Danio rerio: one gene and its partner. The protein of the gene in region 1 purifies or fractionates together with the protein of each later gene. This does not show direct contact. Links are inferred from orthologs where the notes say so. Each region holds a gene or a part of one and is shown on either strand. Other genes may lie near its edges. The genes, in order: rnf19a and sod1.

Region 1 (4,546 bases):
TTTCTCCAGAAAAATAAAAATATTATCAGGCATACTGTGAAAATTTTCTTGCTCTGTTAAACATTCATCTTTTGGGAAATATTTAAAAAATAAAATAAAATTCAAAGGGGGGCTAATAATTCTGACTTCAACTGTACATATAACTTAACTTCATAATTTTTTGATTAATATGAATTGGTACTATTCATACAATTTAGTACAATTTGCTCATCCCCCAGTGACGGTTGGGTTTAGGGGCGGGGTTTGGTGCCACACCTCCTTTTTAAAATGGTACATTTTCATTTGACAATTAGCCACTAAACTGACAAAAGTTGGTTTCCTCGTGAGATCAGGTTGGTATTTTAGAGTACATTGTGCTGTGTCTCTTTTCTCTCTCTCATTGAGTATGTGTGTGTTTGTGTGTGTGTGATAGAGAGAGCTTCAGTCCTTGACATGAAATGTTTAGGAGCAGAGTAGACTTTATTAATATTTATGACCCTTCCAAATATGGTCAAAACCAGCCGAATGTCATATTAGAGCCAATTCCTAGGTTGGGAAATTAACCTGTAAAATTGTTTCTGGATAATTTTTGCACCTAAGTTAGATATCTTTTATTTAGATATCCAAGAACAATTTAACACAATTTATCAAAGAATTCTATCACACTTGTTATTTGTGATACTGTGTGGCATCATTTTTAATACTTTAATAAACAGACTTGAGAAGAGGATTTTCCAGAAAGTACTAGAAATTATTGTGATGCTTAACGTAAAGCATAGGTTAATTACTAAATTAAACTAATAATAATAAAGATAATACTAAGGGGGTGGCGCGGTGGCACAGTGGGTAGCGCTTTCACCTCACAGAAAGTAGGTCGCTGGTTAGAACCTCGGCTGGGTCAAGTTGCATTTCTGTGTGGAGTTTGCATGTTCTCCCCATGTTTGCGTGGGTTTCCTCCAGGTGCTCCGGTTTCCCCCACAGTCCAAAGACATGAATTGGGTAGGCTATATTGTCTGTATAGTGTTTGTGTGTGAATGAGTGTCTATGGGTGTTTCCCAGTACTGGGTTGCAGCTTGAAGAGCATCCACTGGATAAAATATATGCTGGATAAGTTGGCGGTTCATTGTATTGTGGTGACCCCTGATTAATAAAGGGACTACTGATTTATCTCAGTAGGAACACATTTTCTTAATTTAGCTTTATTTTTGTTTTTCAAAAACATGCACAAAACAAAACTGACTGATTCAGTTCTTCTATTCTTTTTTCATTAACAGAATTAACCTTGATCCTTATAAAATAAAATATTTATTAATGAAATAAATGAATAAATAAACCGAAAATTGCATAAAGAGAAAGAAAAATGCCATTTTTTATAAACGTGTGCTTATAAACACGATGTACGTTACATGTCTGCCATAGTTCAACTGAAATTAGGCTATATTTGAATTAAATTATCATTTTTAAATATATAAATCTCTGATATAAGCGGTTTATCGAAGAATAGCTATTTATGTGTGAAAAATAAATGTACAGAAACTGTTTCATGTAAAAGTATGGTAAAACTAGGTTTTGAAACCATCACAGGAAAATCTGCCTTCCGTCTGTTCTCTTTAATTATTCTAGCTTTGAGGAATGCGCGCGCCGACTCTCGCGAGAGTAGAGTTTGAACTGATATGTGAGAAGCGAGCGAGACGGATGCCAGTGAGTCAGTACGAGCGAAAGAGCGAGCGGAGGACGGGACACACAGGACGGCCCGACTTCAGCCCGACAAAACAACTCCCAAAAGTAGCCGCCTTCCAACACCACACTCGGAGTTTTTCACCTTTATTTGTTGCCTGTAATGAAATGCTTTTACGCGGATGACTTGAAAGGTGAGTCGCTGTTGTTCTCGTTGCTATAAAAGGCTAGTTTGACGGCTTGGCTAACGGTCGTGTGTTCGCTTTCAGATTTACTCTCGCTGGCGAACGAGAAAGCCCACATTTTACAGCTTTATTTCTTAAAGACGAGTCCCACGGTTGTCCCAATACAACTAATAACCGCATATTTTGGGTTGTACGCCCGCTAGCTGGCGTGTAGGGAAGTAAAATCGCTTTAAAGGGCCTGTGGTGAGTCCGACATTAGATGGACCTTCCGTAGGCATGTAGCCAGCTATCGCATTGTCCATTTGTTTCTGTTAAGTTTAAATTCACACCTCTGTAACCAGGAAGTCTGTGGAAAAAGAAACAAATACCCAGCTTCATCGCTGAGGTAAAACGACACGAACCTTTGATCTCCATTATAACATCGATAAGGTGTTTTCCAGCTAACGTTATTGTTGAAGGCTTAGGGAGGTTTATTTAGCAACAGATTGCACGCCTAATTTGACTAAGTTATGGATCACAAATGAAATTTTCGTAGTATTTTAGTTTGTATTGACATTGTGAAACGTCTTTTTTAAATGTATATTTAATTGGTTTGTTTCCTGTAATGACTAACATGTTTGAACAAGTACACTTACGTAGAATCGAGAGTGTTTAGTTGAAAATAAGGATTTGCCCATGTTGCCAAATGCCAGTCTTATGTCATACAGTCTGAGTTCAAAGGGTGATTTAGTATGAAGATTGTCTCAAACTTCTTCGAGAGTGTGTTTTGTAGTAATAGTGAAAATGTACTAACTAGGCTCTGATGTTCAAACTTAGCTGGAAGTGGTGTGACTTAATTTCAGATCTATGGAAACTTGGTCTAGAGGTGAAAAATATTGGTTTAGCAACCACTTCCACATATTAGTCACTATTTGAGGTTTTAGGTAAAGAAATGAGTTGGGAGTGAATATAGTGACCCATCACAAAAATGAAGTGGCGTCTGTTTTGATCATTTTGGGTAGTGGTGAAATATTGGATCAGCATTTGATGTAAATCCTGCATGGAAGCAGCTTATCTTCAGCACAGGCCTCAAGAGAGGATCGTGAATTCTCTGTTTTTTGCTTTGTTTTGAATCCTCAGACAGATAGTTTTGATTAACGTTGTAATTGTTTTGCTTTGCTCATCTTATCATTTGTTTAAGTTGGCCCGTTTGCTTTTCGTTAATGCGTTGAATAAACCTGTTTGTTCGGCTTTAATTTTGGTCTGCTTTAAATTTTCACTTCCTCATCAAACCTGAGTAAAATGTTATATGAATGAATAATTAGGATGAAGGATTTAATTATGTTTTTCTGATGTCACATAAAGTGTAAGCCTAGTACATGATTTCTGTCTATATTTGTTTGAAAAGATTGTTCAGTTGGCCCATATTTAATGCTGTACAAAATATTTTAATCATTCATTTATTTTATTTTCGGATTAGTCCCTTTATTAATCCGGGGTTGCCACAGCGGAATAAACCGCCAACTTATCCAGCACGTTTTTACGCAGCGGATGCCCTTCCAGCTGCAACCCATCTCTGGAAAACATCCACACACACACACTCACTCACACTCATACACTACGGACAATTTAGCCTACCCAATTCACCTGTAGCGCATGTCTTTGGACTGTGGGGGAAACCGGAGCACCCGGAGAAAACCCATGCGAACGCAGGGAGAAGATGCAAACTCCACACAGAAACGCCAACTGACCCAGCTGAGGCTCAAACCAGCGACCTTCTTGCTGTGAGGCGACAGCATGACCTATTGCACCACTGCGTCGCCCATATTTTAATCATATTTATATAATTCTCTTTTTCTTAAACTTTGTGGTCGACGTTATATGTACACTGGATCCATGAAAACCCAATAAAAATACATAAACTGTAATATTTAAAACAAACAATTATGATTGTAAATGATTTAAAGTGTTTTTTTTTTTTTTTTTTTTTTTTTTGCTGATCTCACTGACTTGTAAGCCAAATACCTTTGCTAATATTTGTTGTTTTACTTGGAAACCTAATTAAAAGGCCATACATGCTAAATAACAGTAATTCCATGCAAATGTCAATTTTCCCATAAAAAATAAAGATTTTACCAAAACAGTGAAACCCTTTTTACATTTTTTGCTTAGGCTTGTATTTTACAGTACTGTAAAAATGCTCAAAGTCCTCTTAATGTTTTCAAACAATTATATTTGATTTTCCACATCTGTCACATCCATAACCAAGCCTTTTCCTCATAAATATAAAAAATAAAAATGAACATTTTTGGATCTATAGTAAGCCAACTCTTATTATTTTGATTAGCAGTATTTCTTTTGAATTGTGCAGTTTAATTAAAAATTCTACGTGTTTTGTATACTGTAAACTCAGACTTTTTTTGGTTACATCCACAACGCGTTTATTTTCCTTATTTAAAATATAAAAATTTTTTACAGATTCATATTGTTCTGATCTTATAATTCTGTGGTTGTTTGTTTTGGATATTATAAACGGATGTTTTAATATAATGTTAACATAATTTCTATTAGAGTTATGTTTTGAACTTTTACTGCAAATGTCACATTAATAACAATGGAATTACTCATTTGCATTCTTCAATGGCCAAAATGTTTACATTTCTTTTAATTAGCAAAATGTGATGACTTTAAGCTGCACTTTTGTCATGGTGAACTGAAAATAATTG
Region 2 (4,543 bases), on another chromosome or scaffold:
TATTAAAACTGAAGATAAGGAAAAGAAACGATTAATTGTTTGCTGTACATATGCTAACATTACTCCAATAATGTTTGTAGATTTTGACTGGCTTTTTTTTTTTCCAATGATATCCCTGTTGAGTTTAATATTTGGAAACGCTGACTAAAATATGACATTAAGACCCTTTTGCTGTAATGTTTTTAACTTAATGTTTACAACATTCAAAAAAAAAAAAAAAAAAAACGACACAAGATGTTTTTATCATTTTTAAGTTTTTGGAGATAGGAACTCCAAATATTTCAGCGACAGGAGGTGGTTTTAATAAAATATTTTCATACCAAATGAATGAACTGGTTTATGCAACTTGTTTTTAACATTTATTCTAGTCGTGCATTTAAAACTAATCATGAATAAAAAAACTGAGCTTTTTCTGAGCTTTTAACTATATTTAACCAGTTTTATTATGATTTGTGGTAGTTATCATGTGACACTGTACCAAAACCATTTGTAATGGTTTGAATAGGATGTCTACAGTATATGTATATGAATAGGGCATGACTGTAGAATTTGAGGATGCATGTGACCAAATGCCAAGGTCAAAGTGACAAACATGGTTTTGATATATTCCTTTTTTAAAGAATAATACTATAGGACTGTGTAATTTGAGCCAAATAACTATATGTACTAACTATTCACTCAACTTCAAGTGGTTCAATCAATGTGTGAGCTTTTTGTCTGATGTAAAGCACATGAGTATAGATATTTTAAAGAATACTGGAAACTGGTAGCCTTATATATCCATAGTAGGGACCAATTACATAAAATTCAATGCCCACCGGTTTCTAACATTCTTCGAAGATCGTTAAACAGAAGAAATTCAAACAGGTTTGCAACAGGTGGAAGGTAAGTAAATGACAGAATCTTCATATTTGGGTGTCCTGTACCTTTGAATGTACCACATAGGTAGCCAAAATAATACATGTGATGTACATTCTTATTGAAACCACTTTATGATCAGAAATATTTATACTGTAACAAATAATGAGAAAGATATTGTTATAACTTCTTTTATTGTCTGAAAATCTAAGTTTAACTGGTTTAACTTTTACTCTTACTTTTTTTTTTCAAAGTGACTTGCATTGAGCAAGAAAAGGATGTTATTCAGAAACTTCATTCATTCATTTTTCTTCGGGGTAGTCCCTTTATTCATCAGGGGTGGCCACAATGGAACGAGACAGAAACTTATTCAGCATATTTTATTACTAAGCGGATGCTGTTTCAGTACTGGGAAACAACCAAACACACTCATTCACACATACACTATGGCCAATTTAGTTAATACAATTTACCTATAGTGCATGTCTTTGTCATGTAGGGGAAACCGAAGCAACCGGAGGAAAGCCACGCCAACACATGGAGTACATGCAAACTCTACATAGAAATGCCAACTAAGCTAGCTGTAACTCGAACCAGCAATCTTCATGCTGTGAGGCGACAGTGTTAACCATTAAGCCGCCGTGTCGTAAATGTAATTAAAATGGCAAGAAAAGTGACAAGAGTTTACTTTCAGTGTCAGTTTATATAACTAATAAAATAACTAAAGTAACTGGTTCCACAAGTTCATTCAAAACGATACCTTATGACACCGTGACACGCCAGACTTTGAACCAATCAGCATCCACCGCTCTTTTCTGCCTCCTCATTGGTCGATTCCGCTCACGTGCCTCCTCTTATCAAACACAGTCGGTTTCTTTCACTCTCTCACAACTTCTCAGTTTGCATAATCTACAGTCAGCATGGTGAACAAGGCCGTTTGTGTGCTTAAAGGCACCGGTGAAGTGACCGGCACCGTCTATTTCAATCAAGAGGTAAAAAATGTCTGTTTTGATCCATATTTGAAATGACGTTCATGTAGCAGGAGAGCAGCGCGCGCGTCGAGCTAGCATGAAACTACTACGCACTCCATGATCGAGATTGAAGACGTCTGTTGTCATATTTTTACGTATGCATGATGATAGAGTAGCATGCAATTGCACGGAATTTGCTGTGCGAATGCAATGCAAATATAAATGACCGAACATGTTTAAAAACACAATGTTGAGTTGTACATCCTATTACTAATATTTTGTGCAATGTCGCATCCCATAATAAACCGCTGAAAGCAGCTCAGAAATGACCTTTGATAAGATGGCAGGTCTACGCCCCCCCATGCACGCGCAAACTAATTAACGCATATGCTTCCTCAATAGCAGACGTTAACTTACATGCAAACCTTGAACCGCCATGCGTTTGAGTTTGATATTGAGACTTTGTAGCGTAGGTTGCCTGTAGGTTCTTGAGGTATTTACTTTATCGAAAGTCTTAAGAATTTACTACAAGGGGAAAGGTTTGCTGACTCATGCTCCTCTATCTCTGTTTGCAGTCATAATTTTGCCAAATAGGACAGAGATCACAGCACGCTTTAAATGCTGATAGAGCTTATTACTGTATTGGTGTGGCATCTGAATACACATTTACTTGCTGTTAAGCGCTATTTACTGTTTGTGTTAGTCCCAAATCTCGTTATATTGTTTTAATTTGTCTTTAGCCTTCCCTATAATAATTTAATGTTTAAATTGTGAAGTTCTTCTGTATTTTATCCAGCAGCGCTTCAAGTATCTGTTGAGGTAAAGTTAGTTGTATATTTGCATATTCAGTCTTTCTCCTTAATAATATAATTTCACCAAAGAAAATCAATTAAAATTCTAAATAGTAAATCATATAATCACTTTCAAAGTACAACATTGTTCACTATCAAACTATTTGTGCTAATGTTGTTTTAAAGTTAAACTTGCGTTCATACCAAATATTGAAAGTAAAAAAATATAAAAATATAGGGGGTATTTCATAAGTTTTCACTGAATGAATGTGCGGATGTAAAACCAACTTTACCTCAATCAAGTATTCAATATGTCATCGAGGCATGTTTTGATTTTTTAAATTTATTTTTTTTATTACTCAAATCTATTAAAACAAGTTTCATGATCTTTTCTTCCATATTTTAATGTATATCTGAGTAAAATGTCTGTAACGAGGACAAAGGTTGAAGAGTAAAAAATTTTTTTTTTTCCATGAATTGATTTGAATGTTGTGGTTTTCTATTAGTTGAGCTTGGGTGATTTATGACTTGTATTGATAAACCTCTCATAAAATAAGTGACATTGCAAGAAAGCAAAATAAGCATATTGTCACTTTTGATTCCGTGTTGAGATAAACATGCAGTGCATTCCAGGTGTACATTTGGAAACAAATTGTCTGTATGATGTGTTTTGCAGCCAAGCATAACTTGGTTAACTGCGCTTTTGTTTTGTGAAATGATATGAAACCATGTTTTCTGAAGTGATATGAAACCGTTGTTAACCACACAATGGATCTGTATGTTTTAGGGTGAAAAGAAGCCAGTCAAGGTGACTGGTGAAATTACTGGCCTTACTCCAGGAAAACATGGTTTCCACGTCCATGCTTTTGGTGACAACACAAACGGTAAGGAGTGGTCAAACTGAACATTTAGCGATTATTATGGCCCACATGATGATTTATATCGCTTCATTTCTCCCCCCATTTTGTGCATTCACCACCCTATTAAATGAGATCCCAGGTGTAAACAACCTCCTTGTGAGCAAAATGCATCATAATTTCAGGTGTAAACGGGGTGTCAGGGTATGCCACTCCATTCATTAAAGCAGTGTTTTTCAACCACGTTCCAGGAGGATCATCAGTTCTGCATATTTTCCATGTCTCCTTAACCAAACACACCTGATTCAGATCATCAGCTCCAGGAACATGGTTGAGAAACACTGCATTAAAGTACAAGTTCATCCCATCAGGACCAATAACCTTGACCTAAAACCATTAGACTCCATTTTTTACCTGGTTCTGAATCCAAAGTGAAGGAGTAAACAGCTCTGAAAAGTTTTTAAATTCTCCACTTACATACTTTCATAGTGTAAGCACTTAATGCGTTTAAAGGGCCACAAATCACACTTGTGCTATTTTTATTTATTTTTTGCTCTTGATCACAGGCTGCATCAGTGCAGGTCCGCACTTCAACCCTCATGACAAAACTCATGGTGGGCCAACCGATAGTGTGAGGTGAGTTTATCAGTGTGCTCTGATACATCTGTTTTGCATGATTTACAGTATCTATATATAGTAAAATGCTAATATTTATTGTCTGTACGGATTGTCACTGAAAGCAGAAACTCTACTTGCCCTCAAAGTTGTCCCATTTACTTAAATCCTGTTTGTTTAAAAGTTGATCTGCATTTGTCGCATGGGCCTGTATCTCAATTTAGGCATGTGTGGTGTCAGAAGACAGAACATCGAATACAGGGTTTCCGCAGGGTCTTAAAGTCTCAAACTTAAAAATCGAAATTTTAGGCCTTAAAAAAATCTTTAATTTGCTGTTCTAGGTCTTAAATATTTTTGCACCGGTCTTATTTTTCCCATGTCCATGTAACACTACATCTAATGCTCATTTAAATTATTTTTTGTTGTTGCTTGGTTTTTGTGGTGTTGTAGT

What was found.
Region 2: the proteins of rnf19a (region 1) and sod1 purify together in Homo sapiens (affinity purification with western blotting, with the first as the bait; 3 studies listed by BioGRID). This does not show direct contact. The link is inferred for Danio rerio from reciprocal best matches to the Homo sapiens genes RNF19A and SOD1.

What each region holds. Positions count from the first base shown.
Region 1 is NC_133194.1:13,180,158-13,184,703, reverse strand, and holds the start of rnf19a (E3 ubiquitin-protein ligase RNF19A), read left to right. Parts: upstream 1-1,644; 5' UTR 1,645-1,819; coding exon 1,820-1,850; intron 1,851-4,546. UniProt on the Homo sapiens protein: E3 ubiquitin-protein ligase which accepts ubiquitin from E2 ubiquitin-conjugating enzymes UBE2L3 and UBE2L6 in the form of a thioester and then directly transfers the ubiquitin to targeted substrates, such as SNCAIP or CASR.
Region 2 is NC_133185.1:30,634,641-30,639,183, reverse strand, and holds the start of sod1 (superoxide dismutase [Cu-Zn]), read left to right. Parts: upstream 1-1,710; 5' UTR 1,711-1,778; coding exon 1,779-1,850; intron 1,851-3,407; coding exon 3,408-3,504; intron 3,505-4,043; coding exon 4,044-4,113; intron 4,114-4,543. UniProt on the Homo sapiens protein: Destroys radicals which are normally produced within the cells and which are toxic to biological systems.